Lonchura striata: one gene and its partner. The protein of the gene in region 1 binds, or shares a complex with, the protein of each later gene. Links are inferred from orthologs where the notes say so. Each region holds a gene or a part of one and is shown in the gene's direction. Other genes may lie near its edges.

The links.
Region 2: the proteins of GPAA1 (region 1) and PIGU are in contact, whole or in part, in a cryo-EM structure (PDB 8IMX), measured with the Homo sapiens proteins. The link is inferred for Lonchura striata from reciprocal best matches to the Homo sapiens genes GPAA1 and PIGU. Residues at the interface, in NP_003792.1 of Homo sapiens: Gln245, Leu310, Arg311, Arg313, Phe358, Leu359, Ile371, Ala389, Leu390, Trp393, His397, Leu500, Ile504, Leu508, Cys512, Leu515, Thr516; in NP_536724.1 of Homo sapiens: Tyr349, Ile355, Phe356, Cys360, Ile363, Val364, Leu367, Leu368, Val371, Leu372, Leu375, Ile377, Tyr378, Ala379, Gly380, Ser381, Phe386.

The regions. Positions count from the first base shown.
Region 1 is NC_134603.1:829,545-837,107, forward strand, and holds the start of GPAA1 (GPI-anchor transamidase component GPAA1), read left to right. Parts: upstream 1-4,552; coding exon 4,553-4,660; intron 4,661-5,646; coding exon 5,647-5,794; intron 5,795-6,586; coding exon 6,587-6,646; intron 6,647-6,720; coding exon 6,721-6,822; intron 6,823-7,563. UniProt on the Homo sapiens protein: Component of the glycosylphosphatidylinositol-anchor (GPI-anchor) transamidase (GPI-T) complex that catalyzes the formation of the linkage between a proprotein and a GPI-anchor and participates in GPI anchored protein biosynthesis. Binds GPI-anchor.
Region 2 is NC_134619.1:14,259,743-14,266,985, forward strand, and holds the start of PIGU (GPI-anchor transamidase component PIGU), read left to right. Parts: upstream 1-4,236; 5' UTR 4,237-4,305; coding exon 4,306-4,435; intron 4,436-6,064; coding exon 6,065-6,129; intron 6,130-7,243. UniProt on the Homo sapiens protein: Component of the glycosylphosphatidylinositol-anchor (GPI-anchor) transamidase (GPI-T) complex that catalyzes the formation of the linkage between a proprotein and a GPI-anchor and participates in GPI anchored protein biosynthesis.

The DNA.
Region 1 (7,563 bases):
AGCGATTGAGCGGCCTGGCCCGGCCGTGCCCCGCAGGTTCGGGGGTTTGGGGCATTTTGGGGCATTTTGGGGCATTTCGGGGCATTTCGGGGGTTTGGGGCACTCCGGGGGGCCCCGAGGGCGCAGGGGCTGCGGGGCAGGGGAAGGGCCGGGCCAGGCCCGTGTGGGATGCGGGGAGCGCGGTGTAGGGGCGTGGGGGAGGGCAGGGCCTGAGGGGGATTTGGGGTGGGGAGGGGATTTGGGGTGTCTGAGGAGATTTGGGGTGTCTGTGAGGGAATTGGGGTGTCCGTGGGGTGGGGAGTGGATTTGGGGTGTCTGTGAGGGAATTGGGGTGTCCGTGAGGAAAATTGGGGTGGGGAGGGGATTTGGGGTGTCTGGGGAGGGGGGTTTGGGGTGTCTGTGAGGGAATTGGGGTGTCTGTGAGGGAATTGGGGTGTCCTTGATGAGTTTTGGGGTGTCCGTGAGGAGAATTGGGGTGTCCGTGAGGAGAATTGGGGTGTCTGTGAGGGAATTGGGGTGTCTGTGAGGGAATTTGGGGTGGGGAGGGGATTTGGGGTGTCTGAGGATATTTGGGGTGTCTGTGAGGGAATTGGGGTGGGGAGTGGATTTGGGGTGTCCGTGAGGAGGTTTGGGGTGGGGAGGGCATTTGGGGTGTCTGTGAAGGGATTTGGGGTGTTCGTGGGGTGGGGAGGGGATTTGGGGTGTCCGTTGGGTGAGGAGGGGTTGGGGGCTCTGTGGGATTTTGGGGTCCCTGTGGGTTTTGGGGTCTCAGTGGGGTTTGGGGTCTCAGTGGGGTCTCAGTGGGGTTTTGGGGTCTCAGTGGGGTTTGGGGTCTCAGTGGGGTCTCAGTGGGGTTTTGGGGTCTCAGTGGGTTTTGGGGTCTCAGTGGGGTTTTGGGGTCTCTATGGGGTCTCAGTGGGTTTTGGGGTCTCAGTGGGGTTTGGGGTCTCTATGGGGTCTCAGTGGGATTTTGGGTCCCTGTGGGTTTTGGGGTCTCAGCGCTGTTTTGGGGTCTCAGTGGGGTCTCAGTGGGGTTTTGGGGTCTCAGTGGGGTTTTTGGGTCTCAGCGCTGTTTTGGGGTCTCAGTGGGGTCTCAGTGGGGTTTTGGGGTCTCAGGGGGGTTTTTGGGTCTCAGTGGGGCTTTGGGGTCTCAGTAGGGTCTCAGTGGGGTTTTGGGGTCTCAGCGCTGTTTTGGGGTCTCAGTGGGGTCTCAGTGGGGTTTTGGGGTCTCAGCGCTGTTTTGGGGTCTCTGTGGGGTCTCAGTGGGGTTTTGGGGTCTCAGGGGGGTCTCAGTGGGACTTTGGGGTCTCTGTGGGGTCTCAGTGGGGTTTTTGGGTCTCAGTGGGGCTTTGGGGTCTCAGTGGGGTCTCAGTGGGGTTTTGGGGTCTCAGTGGGGCTTTGGGGTCTCAGTGGGGTCTCAGTGGGGTTTTGGGGTCTCAGCGCTGTTTTGGGGTCCCCACAGCCCGGTCCCCCTGCCATGGGGCTGCTGTCGGACCCGCAGTGCCGGCGGGCACTGGCCCGGCTGCTGCTGCGCCTCAACACCCCCCTCTGGTGAGTGGGGGGGACCCCGAAACCGGGGGGACCCCAAAACCCTGGGGGGGACCCCAACACCCCCCTCTGGTGAGTGGGGGGGACCCCGAAACCGGGGGGGACCCCAAAACCTCTGGGGGGGACCCCAACACCCCCCTCTGGTGAGTGGGGGGGACCCCGAAACCGGGGGGGACCCCAAAACCCTGGGGGGGACCTCAACACCCCCCTCTGGTGAGTGGGGGGATCCCAAAACCTGGGGGGACCCCAAAACCCTGGGGGGGACCCGAACAACCCCTCTGGTGAGTGGGGGGGACCCCAAAACCTGGGGAGACCCCAAAACCTCTGGGGGGGGGTGTCAGGGCTGGGTTTGGAGTGTCACTGATGGTTTTGGGGTTATTTTTGGGGTGCCGATGGTGACTTTGGGGTGTCACTGATGGTTATGGGGTTATCTTTGGGGTGTCACTGATGGTTTTGGGGTTATCTTTGGGGTGTCACTGATGGTTTTGGGGTGCCCCCACAGCATCCTCAGTTACCTGGCGGGGCTTGGCTGGTTCCTGCTGCTGCCCGCCCTGGCTCCCTGCATGTACCTGTGCAGGGTGGGGGTGTCACTGATGGTTATGGGGTTATCTTTGGGGTGCCGATGGTGATTTTGGGGTGCCGATGGTGATTTTGGGGTGCCCCCCGCAGCATCCTCAGTTACCTGGCGGGGCTCGGCTGGTTCCTGCTGCTGCCCGCCCTGGCTCCCCGCACGTACCTGTGCAGGGTGGGCGTGTCAGGGCTGGGTTTGGGGTGTCACTGATGGTTTTGGGGTTATTTTTGGGGTGCCAATGGGGATTTTGGGGTGCCCCCACAGCATCCTCAGTTACCTGGCGGGGCTCGGCTGGTTCCTGCTGCTGCCCGCCCTGGCTCCCCGCACGTACCTGTGCAGGGTGGGGGTGTCAGGGCTGGGTTAGGGGTGGGTTTGGGGTGCCGATGGTGACTTTGGGGTGTCACTGATGGTTTTGGGGTGCCCCCACAGCATCCTCAGTTACCTGGCGGGGCTCAGCTGGTTCCTGCTGCTGCCCGCCCTGGCTCCCCGCACGTACCTGTGCAGGGTGGGGGTGTCACTGATGGTTTTGGGGTTATTTTTGGGGTGCCAATGGTGATTTTGGGGTGCCCCCACAGCATCCTCAGTTACCTGGCGGGGCTCGGCTGGTTCCTGCTGCTGCCCGCCCTGGCTCCCCGCACGTACCTGTCCGAGAACGCCATGGGCTCCACCATGGTGGGGGAGGGCTCCGACCTCGGGCCCCGCGCCCTGGCCCTGGCCCGCGACTTCGGGGCGCACAAGAGGAGAGCGGGGTGAGAACAGAGGGATTGGGGTTGGGGTTTGGGATTTGGGGGGTTTGGGGAACACACCCGCGACTTCGGGGCGCACAAGAGGAGAGCGGGGTGAGAACGGGGGGATTGGGGTTGGAATTGGGACTTGGGGGGTTTGGGGAACACCCCCGCGACTTCGGGGCGCACAAGAGGAGAGTGGGGTGAGAATGGGGGGATTGGGGTTGGGATTTGGGATTTGGGGGGTTTGGGGAACATACCCACGACTTTGGGGGGCACAAGAGGAGAGCGGGGTGAGAACGGGGGGATTGGGGTTGGGGAGGGAGACACACCCGTGACTTTGAGGGGCACAAGATGAGAGCGGGGTGAAAACGGGGGATTTGGGGTTGGGATTTGGGATTTGGGGGGTTCGGGGAACACACCCGCGACTTCGGGGCGCACGAGAGGAGAGCGGGGTGAGAACAGGGGGATTGAGGTTTGGGGGTCTGGGGAGGGGGACACACCCGGGAATTTTGGGGGGCACAAGAGGAGAGCGGGGTGAGAACGGAGGGATTGGGTTTGGGATTGGGATTTGGGGGTTTTGGGGAGGGGAACACATCTGGGGCTTCGGGGGGCACAAGAGGAGAGTGGGATGAGAACGAGGGATTTGGGATTGGGGTTTGGGGGGTTTCGATTGGGATTTGGGGAGGGGGACACAGCGGGGACTTCGGGGTGCACAAGAGGAGAGCGAGGTGAGACCCTGGAGTGGGGTTTGGGGTTAGGTTTGGGGAGGGGGGACACACCCGGGGCTTTGGGGTGCACAGGAGGAGAGCGGGGTGAGAACGGGGGGATTGGGGTTTGGGGAGGGGAGACACACCCGGGAATTTTGGGGTGCACAGGAGGAGAGCGGGGTGAGAACGGGGTGTTTGGGGTTGGTTTTGGGGGTGGATTGGGGGATTTGGGGAGGGGAACACACCAGGGAATTTTGGGGGATGAGTGGAGAGCAGAGTGACGCCTTTGGGGTTGGGAGGAGTTTGGGGGAGTTCCATTGCCACTCCTGCTTGGAGTGGCTGGAGAGGGGATTTGGGGGATGGTTTGGGGTGCCCCAATCCCAATCCCATATTTATTTATTTGTTTTGGGGCATGCCTGTGGAGTGGCTGGAGCAGACCTGTGGGCTCTGGGGATGGTTTGGGATATCCCAATCCCAATCCCAATCCCAATCCCATTTTTATCCATTTTATCCCATATTTTTTTGTTCAGGGGCATGCCCGTGGAGTGGCTGGAGCAGACCTGTGGGCTTTGGGGATGCTTTGGGATATCCCAATCCCAATCCCAATCCCATTTTTATCCATTTTATCCTGTATTTTTTTGTTCAGGGGCATGCCCGTGGAGTGGCTGGAGCAGACCTGTGGGCTCTGGGGATGGTTTGGGGATGCTTTGGGATATCCCAATCCCAATCCCAATCCCATTTTTATCCATTTTATCCCATATTTTTTTGTTCAGGGGCATGCCCGGTGGGAGTGGCTGGAGCAGACCTGTGGGCTCTGGGGATGGTTTGGGATATCCCAATCCCAATCCCAATCCCATTTTTATCCATTTTATCCCGTATTTATTTATTTAGGGGCATGCCCGTGGAGTGGCTGGAGCAGACCTGTGGGCTCTGGGGATGCTTTGGGATATCCCAATCCCATTTTTATCCATTTTATCCCGTATTTTTTTGTTCAGGGCATGCCCGTGGAGTGGCTGGAGCAGACCATGTTCCAGCTGGGGCTCGAGGTCCATCGCCAGCCCTTCAGCCGCACGCTGCCCCTTCCCGACGAGGCCCACGAGCGCTACGTACTGGGAGCACTGGGAGCACTGGGAGCACTGGGAACGGGGGAGGGGGGACTGGGAGCACTGGGAACGGGGGAGGGGGGGACTGGGAGCACTGGGAATGGGGCACTGGGAGCACTGGGAACGGGGCACTGGGAGCACTGGGAATGGGGGACTGGGAGCACTGGGAACGGGGCACTGGGAGCACTGGGGATACTGGGAACGGGGCACTGGGAGCACTGGGAACGGGGCACTGGGAGCACTGGGAACGGGGCACTGGAGCACTTGGTGGCACTTGGGGTCCCCAGGGCAGTGGGGGTCCCTGGAACCCTCGCTGTCCCAGCCTTCCTGAGGATTGCTGGGGGGTCTCTGGGCGGGTTTGGGGTCCCCTGGCAGGTTTGGGGTCCTTGTTCAGGTTTTGGGGTGCCGTGGGGATGTCTGGGGTCCCTGTTCAGGTTTTGGGGTGCCGTGGGGATGTTTGGGGTGCTGACCCCGCTGTCCCTCCCAGCTGGTGCGGGGCACCAACGTTTTCGGGGTGCTGCAGGGATGTTGGGGGTCCCTGGGTGGGTTTTGGGGTCCCTGTTCAGGTTTTGGGGTGCCATGGGGATGTCTGGGGTCTCTGTTCGGGTTTGGGGTGCTGTGGGGATGTTTGGGGTGCTGTGGGGATGTTTGAGGTCCTTGGGTGGGTTTTGGGGTCCCTGTTCAGGTTTTGGGGTGCCATGGGGATGTCTGGGGTCCCTGTTCGGGTTTGGGGTGCTGTGGGGATGTTTGGGGTGCTGCGGGGATGTTGGGGGTCCCTGGGTGGGTTTTGGGGTCCCTGTTCAGGTTTGGGGTGCTGACCCCGCTGTCCCTCCCAGCTGGTGCGGGGCACCAACGTTTTCGGGGTGCTGCGGGGATGTTGGGGGTCCCTGGATGGGTTTTGGGGTCCCTGTTCAGGTTTTGGGGTGCTGTGGGGATGCCTGGGGTCCCTGTTCGGGTTTTGGGGTGCTGACCCCGCTGTCCCTCCCCAGCTGGTGCGGGGCACCAACGTTTTCGGGGTGCTGCGGGCCCCCCGTGCCGCCAGCACCGAGGCGCTGCTGCTGCTGGTGCCCGGCTCCGAGGGCAGCAAGAACAGCCAGGCCGTGGGGCTGCTGCTGGCGCTGGCGGGCTACTGCCGAGGTGGGGCACGGGGGCACGGGGCTACGGGGGTACGGGGGGTACGGGGGGTACGGGGGGCTACTGCCGAGGTGGGGCACGGGGGTACGGGGCTACGGGGGTACGGGGGGTACGGGGGGTACGGGGGGCTACTGCCGAGGTGGGGCACGGGGGTACCGGGGGGCACGGGGGTACGGGGGGCACGGGGAGTACGGGGGGCACGGGGGGTACGGGGGGCTACTGCCGAGGGGGGGCACGGGGGCACGGGGGCACGGGGGTACCGGGGGGTACCGGGGGGCATGGGGGGTACGGGGGGCACGGGGGGCTACTGCCGAGGTGGGGCACGGGGGCACGGGGGTACGGGGGCACGGGGGGCACGGGGGTACGGGGGTACCGGGGGTACCGGGGGTACCGGGGGCTACTGCCGAGGTGGGGCACGGGGGGTACCGGGGGTACCGGGGGCTACTGCCGAGGTGGGGCACGGGGGGTACCGGGGGTACCGGGGGCTACTGCCGAGGTGGGGCACGGGGGCACGGGGGTACGGGGGGTACCGGGGGCTACGGGTGTACCGGGGGCTACTGCCGAGGTGGGGCACGGGGGTACGGGGGCGCTGCTGGGGCTCGGGGTCTCTGGGGGCTCAGGGGATGTACTGGAGCTGTACTGGGAGGTACTGGGCTGTACTGGTCCATACTGGTTTCCCAGGCCAGGTGTACTGGGCCAAAGATCTCATCTTCCTGGGGCTGTACTGGTCCATACTGGTCCGTACTGGTCCATACTGGTCCGTACTGGTCCATACTGGTCTGTACTGGTTCCTAGGCCAGGTGTACTGGGCCAAAGATCTCATCTTCCTGGGGCTGTACTGGTCCATACTGGCCTGTACTGGTCCATTCTGGTCCGTACTGGTCCATACTGGTCCGTACTGGTCCATACTGGTTTGTACTGGTTCCCAGGCCAGGTGTACTGGGCCAAGGATCTCATCTTCCTGGTGACCGAGCACGACCTGCTGGGGACACAGGCCTGGCTGGAGGCCTACCATGATGTCAACCTTACTGGTGAGACTGGGAGCACTGGGAGGGGCTGGGGGACACTGTGTGACCCTTACTGGTGAGACTGGGAGCACTGGGAGACAGGCTGGGACCCTTACTGGTGAGACTGGGAGCACTGGGACAGGCTGGGGGACACTGTGTGACCCTTACTGGTGAGACTGGGAGCACTGGGAGGGGCTGGGACCTTTACTGGTGAGACTGGGAGCACTGGGGGGGACTGGGAGCCCTGGGAGGGGCTGGGAGGGCTCAGGGCCCCCCAAGTGACCCTGGGCACGGACACGGTGACCGCAGTGGGCACGGGGGTCCCACGGGGGTCCCGTGGCTGTTCTGGGGGTCCCGTGGGGGTGCCCTGGGGGTCTCAGGGGGTCTCACAGTGCCCCCTCCCCAGGCATGCAGTCGGGGGGCTCCCGGGCCGGGTGGGGCCATCCAGGCGGCGCTGGGGGTGCCGTTGCCATTCTGGGGGTCCCGTGGCTGTTCTGGGGGTGCCGTTGCCATCCTGGGGGTGCCGTTGCCATTCTGGGGGTGCCGTGGCCGTTCTGGGGGTGCCCTGGGGGTCTCAGGGGGTCTCAGGTGTGCCCCCCTCCCCAGGCATGCAGTCGGGGGGTCCCGGGCCGGGTGGGCGCCATCCGGGTGACCCTGGGCATGGACACAGTGACCGCAGTGGGCGCGGGGTGCCGTTGCCATCCTGGGGGTGCCGTTGCCATTCTGGGGGTGCCATGGGGGTGCCCTGGGGGTCTCAGGGGGTCT
Region 2 (7,243 bases), on another chromosome or scaffold:
CATCTTTTGTTGATTTTCGTTTAACCATTTTCCCATGTTTCCAACTAAATTTCTTGACTAAAAAATTGTTCATTATATTCTTGATACTTTAAAATAATCTGCTTGTTAAGTTATATATTATAGAGAGAGGAGTCACTCTGTCCAGTTAATACCCACCATTGCATAAAATAAAATGAGCAAGACCACATCTCCATTCGCTGATCACATCCTACAGGAGGAGTGACCTCCAAAATCACTTTCAAACACCAGAAAGCCAGATTCTGCAGATTCCTTGGTTATTCTTGCTTCAAGCCCAGTCTTACTTCAAGACAATTCCACTGCAATTCCTACTCCCGACCCCCATTCTGTATATAATGACTTTGTGCATTTTATATTCATTTTCTTACACAAAGAAGATGCTTACCCCATGTGTTATGGTCATGAGTAGTCCATTTTTTTCCTGATAATTTCTGAATTCTTTTCTGTTGCTGTAATAATTTTTCATATGCTAAAATCTGTTCTATGATAGATTGTGGATATGATATGTTATATAACAGATTCATTAATTTATTTTGAACCCCAGAACTCTCCTCTCTTTTGTAAAAAGAAACAGGGAGATGTTGTGGTGTATTTTGCTTTGAAAACATGTTTGCCCCCTGTTCTCCTCCCTAATCCCCTCCCTTACCCAGCTGCCAATTTTCCCAAGCCCTTCCCTAACTTCCTCCCTTCAAGTTGTCAATCCTTCCTATCCCTACCCCTTTCTCCAGAGAGTTTGGTGTCTGTCTTATTGTCCTCGATACCCCACTCCTTACTTTGTGTTATTTCCCTCCCCACCATTTTCCCTGATAGGCTCATAGGCTATTTGCCTCACCTTATATTCCTCCCTTACCATATCCTCACTGGTTCACTTTCCTACACCCGCCTCCTGAGTTGCTGTATAAAAACTTCTGTTCACCCCCCGCCAGTCTTGTCAGGGAGCCCAGGAATAAATCCATCTTGTTCTACACCAAGCCCCGTGTCATGGCTGTCTGTCCCTGCTCTGTCCCTGTGGATAACTGGGAATTGCAGAGCTCGCAGGGGGACGGTCGCGGCCCTGCCGCAGCCGCCCAGCACGCCCCGCACAGCGCGCTGCAACACCTCAGGAATCAGAACACCTAATTTGTACAGTGAGTCAGGAAAAGGAGTGGCTTGTTTACCCCAAAAAAATGTCGCCATTGCATTGCATAATTCCAGCAGGGCACACAAGAAGTGCCCAAACCAGCATCTGTTTGCAGGAACAAAGATGAATCATCCCTGAACTGGCTCAGCGCTAAACAGAGTGTTTTATGAAAGTTCTGTGATGCAACATCCCCAGGTTGAATTCATCCATCCCCTGTGCCCTCTGCATGGGTGCCTCGTGTGGGCAGCACGATCAAGGAGCGCAGATCTTCCAGCAGCAGCAACTCTCTATTGTGTGTTTGGCTCCACCAGATCTACTTCTTTTAGTAAGGCAACAACACTTGGAGGCTGTAGGACAGCAGAAGGTCCTCCTGAGAGCTGCATCTGCTGCTGTCTGTGTGGACCAACAACCGTTCCACAGCCCCACTATCACACGTGGCACCACGGAGGAGATCCCAAACTCAGCTCCTCAAACTGCTCCCAGGCCTTAGCACACCCAGCCCTCTCTGCATGTTCCTACCGAATCACTTGCAGAGACAAGGAATTTCAGGAAGAAAGGATAGCCAGTAAATGCCCCAGTAAATGCTGCAAAAACTACCATCAGTTTGGGGTAAATACCAGGACTCAGAAGATCAGGTTTACGCCTCTGGAAAAAAAAATAAAATTGCTGCACTAACCAAGCAACCCAGAGTTTTCTCAGAGTTTTCTGGTTTGTGTCCTTTCAGCTCCTTGCTGGAAGATCCATTCAGCTCAGTATGAGTCTCTGACAGCCCTGAGTTCTCTCCTCTGTTCTGTATCATCCCTGTCTGCCCCTTCAATGCTGGGGTAGCAGCTGGCCATACCAGCTGACTTGGAGCAGCACAATAACACTGCCAGGTCCCAAACTATTGCCTGTGCAAAGCCCACCCCAGCCTGGGTCTCCTGAAACTTCCCTAGATTTCCATAAGCTGGCAGGAACCCCAAGAGTTTTAAAGGTCTGCTCCTCTGTCTCATTTGGCTGAGAGTGGCTCCAGAAGTCACTGCCAGACAAAAGACAGCACCACAGCATGTGTGTATTTACTGCACCTCCTTGAGGCAGCTCTAACCCCCCAAATTAGTGACCATCAGATAGCAACTGGGTTGAGTCAATCCTCTCATATTTGCCTGATGTATTTGATGCTTTGAGAGGGCTGAATATGTCAATTAGTTTAGGAATTTCCCTCCATTGCTAGCCCTGGGATGTCCTCTTGGAGAAATGCTGGAGCAAACTCATGCTCCAGAAAGAATTACTGCATTTGTCATTAATTATTCTCTGACCTTTCCTTTTTGTTGGCTTTGCAAACCACTTATACACAGAACAACTGTAGTGGCATGATTCCACATCTGATTCTGCTGCTCTTGGGGTTTATCTGAATCTTCCCAGGGCTGCATCAGACACTGCTGGGCAGCACATGGCACAGCTCGGACTGGCAAAATCAGCATCCTGGAGCAGTGCAGCTTTAACCACACTACTGTGTGCCAGTCACTCAGCAAAGCAGCAGTCACAGGCAACAGCTGTCAAGTACTTTGGATCAGAAATGTCATTTAGAGAGAACCAGTGCACAAAAAAGAGCATTTATGATCAGAAAACTCAAGAGACTGTTGTGAACAGCTGCAAAGAAGAATCAGCATTTCTGGCTTCCTATTTACAGATGCTTGCACAAACAAATTAACTTGAATGAATTCACCCTGATTTATTAGAGGATGTGCCAGGCTCGGTCAGTCCTGGGGCCATCAAATCCCAGGGCCAGCCAGAGCCACACTCTCAGAGCAGCTTTACCAGCAAAACCCACACCTTTGTGCCAGAGAGGCTGAGAGCAGAGGAGCTGTCACAAACAGGCTGAGCACTGAAGCTCTCCTTATGGCCTCAGGACCAGCTCTGTTGTCTCATGGCAGTGGATGAGAGAAGCTCTGTGAAGGAGGCAGCTGAACCCCAGTGAGGCAGTGAGCATAGTAGGAAACAGTCCAGGGACCATCTGAAGGTGGTTTTGTAGCATGAAGGGATTCACGTTCCAAGCAGCCATCCATGGTCCAGAAAGTTTATGTGACTGACCACCTAACCCCACCAGTCTCTCCAGTCCTGGGAACAGTACATGCTGGGTCACCTGGGCCTTTAGGGACCACATCCCAGAACTCAGCCTTTCTCCATTTCTGCAGGCAGGTGCAACTCTAATCTACAGCTCAGAGGCTGAATAAACCCAACCAAAAAAGGTTCTCTTGGATATTATCCAGCTCTTTTCAGTGGCAACACCAGCACATTCAGCAAAGCCTAGTTTTAATTACATGAAAAATTACTGTCTTCATATACCACATGAAATGCCTTTTACACTATCACTAATTTTTAGGAGTTTATAATGTCTTCCTTCCACTTGCCTCCATTCAGATGAAGTGTCATAAAGACTATTTTTGTGTGAGACTGTGTGAATGGGCTGCACATGTGCCCAGGGATGGGGATGGAGGAATGGTTGTTGGAGAACAGGGAAGTCCATGCTGGGAAGGTAGGTGATTGAAAGTCTTCCCAGAGCTCTTAAGCTGTGGAGCTGTTGAAGCCACATAGACTGAGAACCCGAGTCAGCCAAGAGCCGTCTGAAACCAGACACGGTCACGAGCGCTCAGCCGTGACCCTCACCATGGCCACAGCAAACGCGCAGGCACATACCATGGGCATCCGTGAAATACCTGAAAAATAAAGCATTGTCTGAGGGGATTTCCAGACAGCTCAGAAGCCACCGACACTCCTCGTCCGAGACCGGCCCAGCCCGCCAGGCCTTGCCCCGGCTGGGCAGAGCTCCCATCCAGAGGCACCTGGCATCCACAGGCGGGAGGGATAGACCGTGGTCAGGCCGATGCCCCTCGAGAACAGACACATCCGTGTCCTCTGGCGGAGGAGCTGCTGTCCCGTGTGGCCGTCCTGGGCAAAGCGGACCCGAACGGGACAGCTCGGAGCGGGACCCCCGCCTGGCCACGCCAAGCGCGCTCCTGCTAATTTGGCCCCTCCGCGGCCGCCGTAGTTGCGAGTGGTGTCGGGAGAGGGCTGTGTGAGGGCTGCCGGGACGTGTAGTCTGCCCGGGCGGGCCGGTTCGTTGGCGGCGTGTTCCCCGGCGCCGCCCGGGAACTACAGCCGGCGGCAGCGGCGGACCGCGCGCCGGGATGGCGGCCCCCTTGGTGCTGGTGGTGCTGGCGGCCGTGACGGTGCGCGCCGCGCTCTACCGCTCCAGCCTCGCCGTCTTCATCGCCGAGCGGGTCGAGGTGGCGTCCCCGCTAAACGCCTGGAAGCGAGGTGAGGCCCGGCGAGCCCGGGCCGGGGCGCTGCTGGCCGGGCCGAGCCCCGCGGCGGCGGCGCGGAGGAGCCAGGGCGGCGGGACCCCCCGAGCCGGGCGGGCGGCGGGCTAGCAGCGGCCCCGCGGGGAGAGCGCCCGGCCGCGCCCCGGGCAGGGCAGGGCCGTGCTCTCCCGGCCCGAAGTAGAGCTGCACGAAAGGGCCCTGAGCAGCTGTGCCCGGGAGGAGCCCATGGGAGCCGGTGCTCGGTGGCTCCGGGGCCGGGAAGGCCGGGGCTGGAGCCAGGGCGTCGTGCTCCACGGCCGGGGACACCGGTGGTGTCACACACGTACACAAACGGGCGTGACCCGCCCAGCACGGAGCGTGTGGCTGCATCGGCCTCGGCCGGGCGCGCTGCGCTGTCCCTGCGCAGGCACCGTGTCGCGGTGAGAATGCCACTGCACGGGCCCCGGCTCACTTCCCTTGCTCAGCTGGTGTCCCCACACATTGTTGGCGATTTACATTCTCTTCTGAAGGCTGAGTAAGGTCCTGGGTTATCGGGGCTTTTCAGTGACGTTCATCTGTGTGCCATCTGAGGCTTAGGAACCTTAGTTTATTTTAAAGATGTCCCTTTGTTATCCAGTTATTATGCAGATAAAATTATTTGCAGTTTTGGGGTGGAAAAGAGTGGCCAGAAGTAATAAAGGTCAAAAGTACAAGTGTATTTGGTGACTTGAGGCTTCTGCTCCACAGTATATAGCACTTCATGCTTCCTGTGCTATTGAATCTTTCTAAATACCACCTTAGAGCATCAAGGTAGGTATCTAGATAGTAAAGGGAAAAGGTGGGATCATCTTGAAAAGTCTGGGCTGTCACCATACAGGAAGTTAATGGCAGCCAGAATCTATTTCTAATAGAAATATTTATGTAACACTGAATTGAGCACCTCTTGTGTTTTCCTGCAGTGTCCTGCCTGTTTCCCTCTGAACAAATGGACCATTTCCCTTAGCTTCTTTTCACTGCATACTGCTCAGTCCCAGGGAACCTCTGTGCTTAGGAGGGTGGAGCTTCCATGGTAAAGCACACACACACATTGCCTAGCAAGCTGTAACTCCATGAGCACAAAGGAGCTGAATTAAGGTTATAAAATGGCAGGAAGTTTCAACGAGAGATAAAGCTTTTAGCTTTGCCTAGCAATATGTGTTCATTTCTGTTCTTCCCTTGTGATTTCGGACGTTTGAGGCCTCTCTACAGCTAATGAGGCAAACCAGTTCAACTTTTATACTATGTTATGGCTGTCTTCTTGGAATTAAGTATTTCTCCAGCATATATGCCATATGTCACTTAATAGGTGAGTCAAAAGGAGGAGATACCATGCATGTGATTTATACAGAGTTAAGTGCAAAAGATTTCATTTCCAACATTTTTGGCTGAAACATATAAATAGGTGATGAGTGCCCGTGCAGGAACGTGTGCGGCAGAGCTGGGCTGAATTTCTTCTGGCTGGCTGTTGGCCCTGGGAGGTATGGTGTCATCCATGCTGCGTGAGATTCTTAGAGTGTCAGTATTTTGAAAACTGCAGTTTTATCCTCGTGGGATCTCTCACTTCCCACATTACAGGGTTCTAATGCAGGTATTTTGTCTGTTTCAGTGGTCGAAGGATTAGCCCTGCTGGATTTAGGGGTCTCGCCATACTCTGGAGCTATTTTTCATGAGGTTGGTTGGTTTACATGATGGGTTTTAAATGTGATATTCCAGTGGCAGGGGTCTTAGTGTGGCTGCTCAGGGCCTAGAGAAGGCTGGGGGCCTGCTTTGTCCCAAAGACTGCAGAGAACCTGAAGTTGTGTGGTTTGTCGGAGCAGTGGTTTCTCCAGCACAAGGAAATCCAGATAATCCCACTGAATTCCCTGTGCAGGGGCAGGCAGTGTCATAATTGTTACTGCATAAAGAAACTCTGAGACAAGGGGGACTCTGTAATAAGTCAAATACTCTGTTCACATCCAGCTTTCCTCTCAGCACAAGCTGGAGTAGGGACAATGTCACTGTGAGTCTGATAGGATTTACACAGTATCAGCACCTGGAGTCTCTGCATTTGCAGAAATTCTAATAGTAGCACAAGCATGCAGTTTATTTATTCCTTATCTTGAAAACACCTTGTGCTTACAAAAACACTTAAACACCTGTGAGGTTTTGTGCCCTCGAATACCCTTACTGACATGAAGGTACTTTCATACATGGTGTTGCCTGGGGTAAAGCGAGGACTTGGTATCCTCTGAAAACAGGATTCTTTTTAATACATTCTATTTCTTTAGACATAATTTTTCCCAGACTGTGAAATATTTCCCATGCTTATTTAGACCATCACATTAAAAGGGAAAAGCTCTAGGAGTAAGAGGATGATAGGATTGTAACCCTACAGCTTTATGTTTTTAACATGCTTTTTTCTTTTTGCTTTGTAAAAGACACATCTAAACAGCAGGGGAACCAGCTATATATGAAATCTTTCCAAAGTACCTGCAGACAACCTGAAAAATAGATTTTCTATAAAAAATTACTTTCTAAAGCTGGTCTTTGTATGTTTTCTATTGTAAGTCTACCATTATTGTAATAGAATTGAAAAGTTGGAGTATAACACAATTTTCAGAGTTGATGGTGCCTTTTATAAAGTGCATTGAGGACTTTGCAAGGAAAAAGACCAGTAAGTGTGCTTTGATTAATCACTTTGCTCTGAAATACCAGTGTTGCAGTAAAGGCCAAAGAAAATAACCTTTGGCAGTGTCTAGTAGAACTGCTCAACTCTGGTACTTTGTCTCATCAAACCACTGGTATT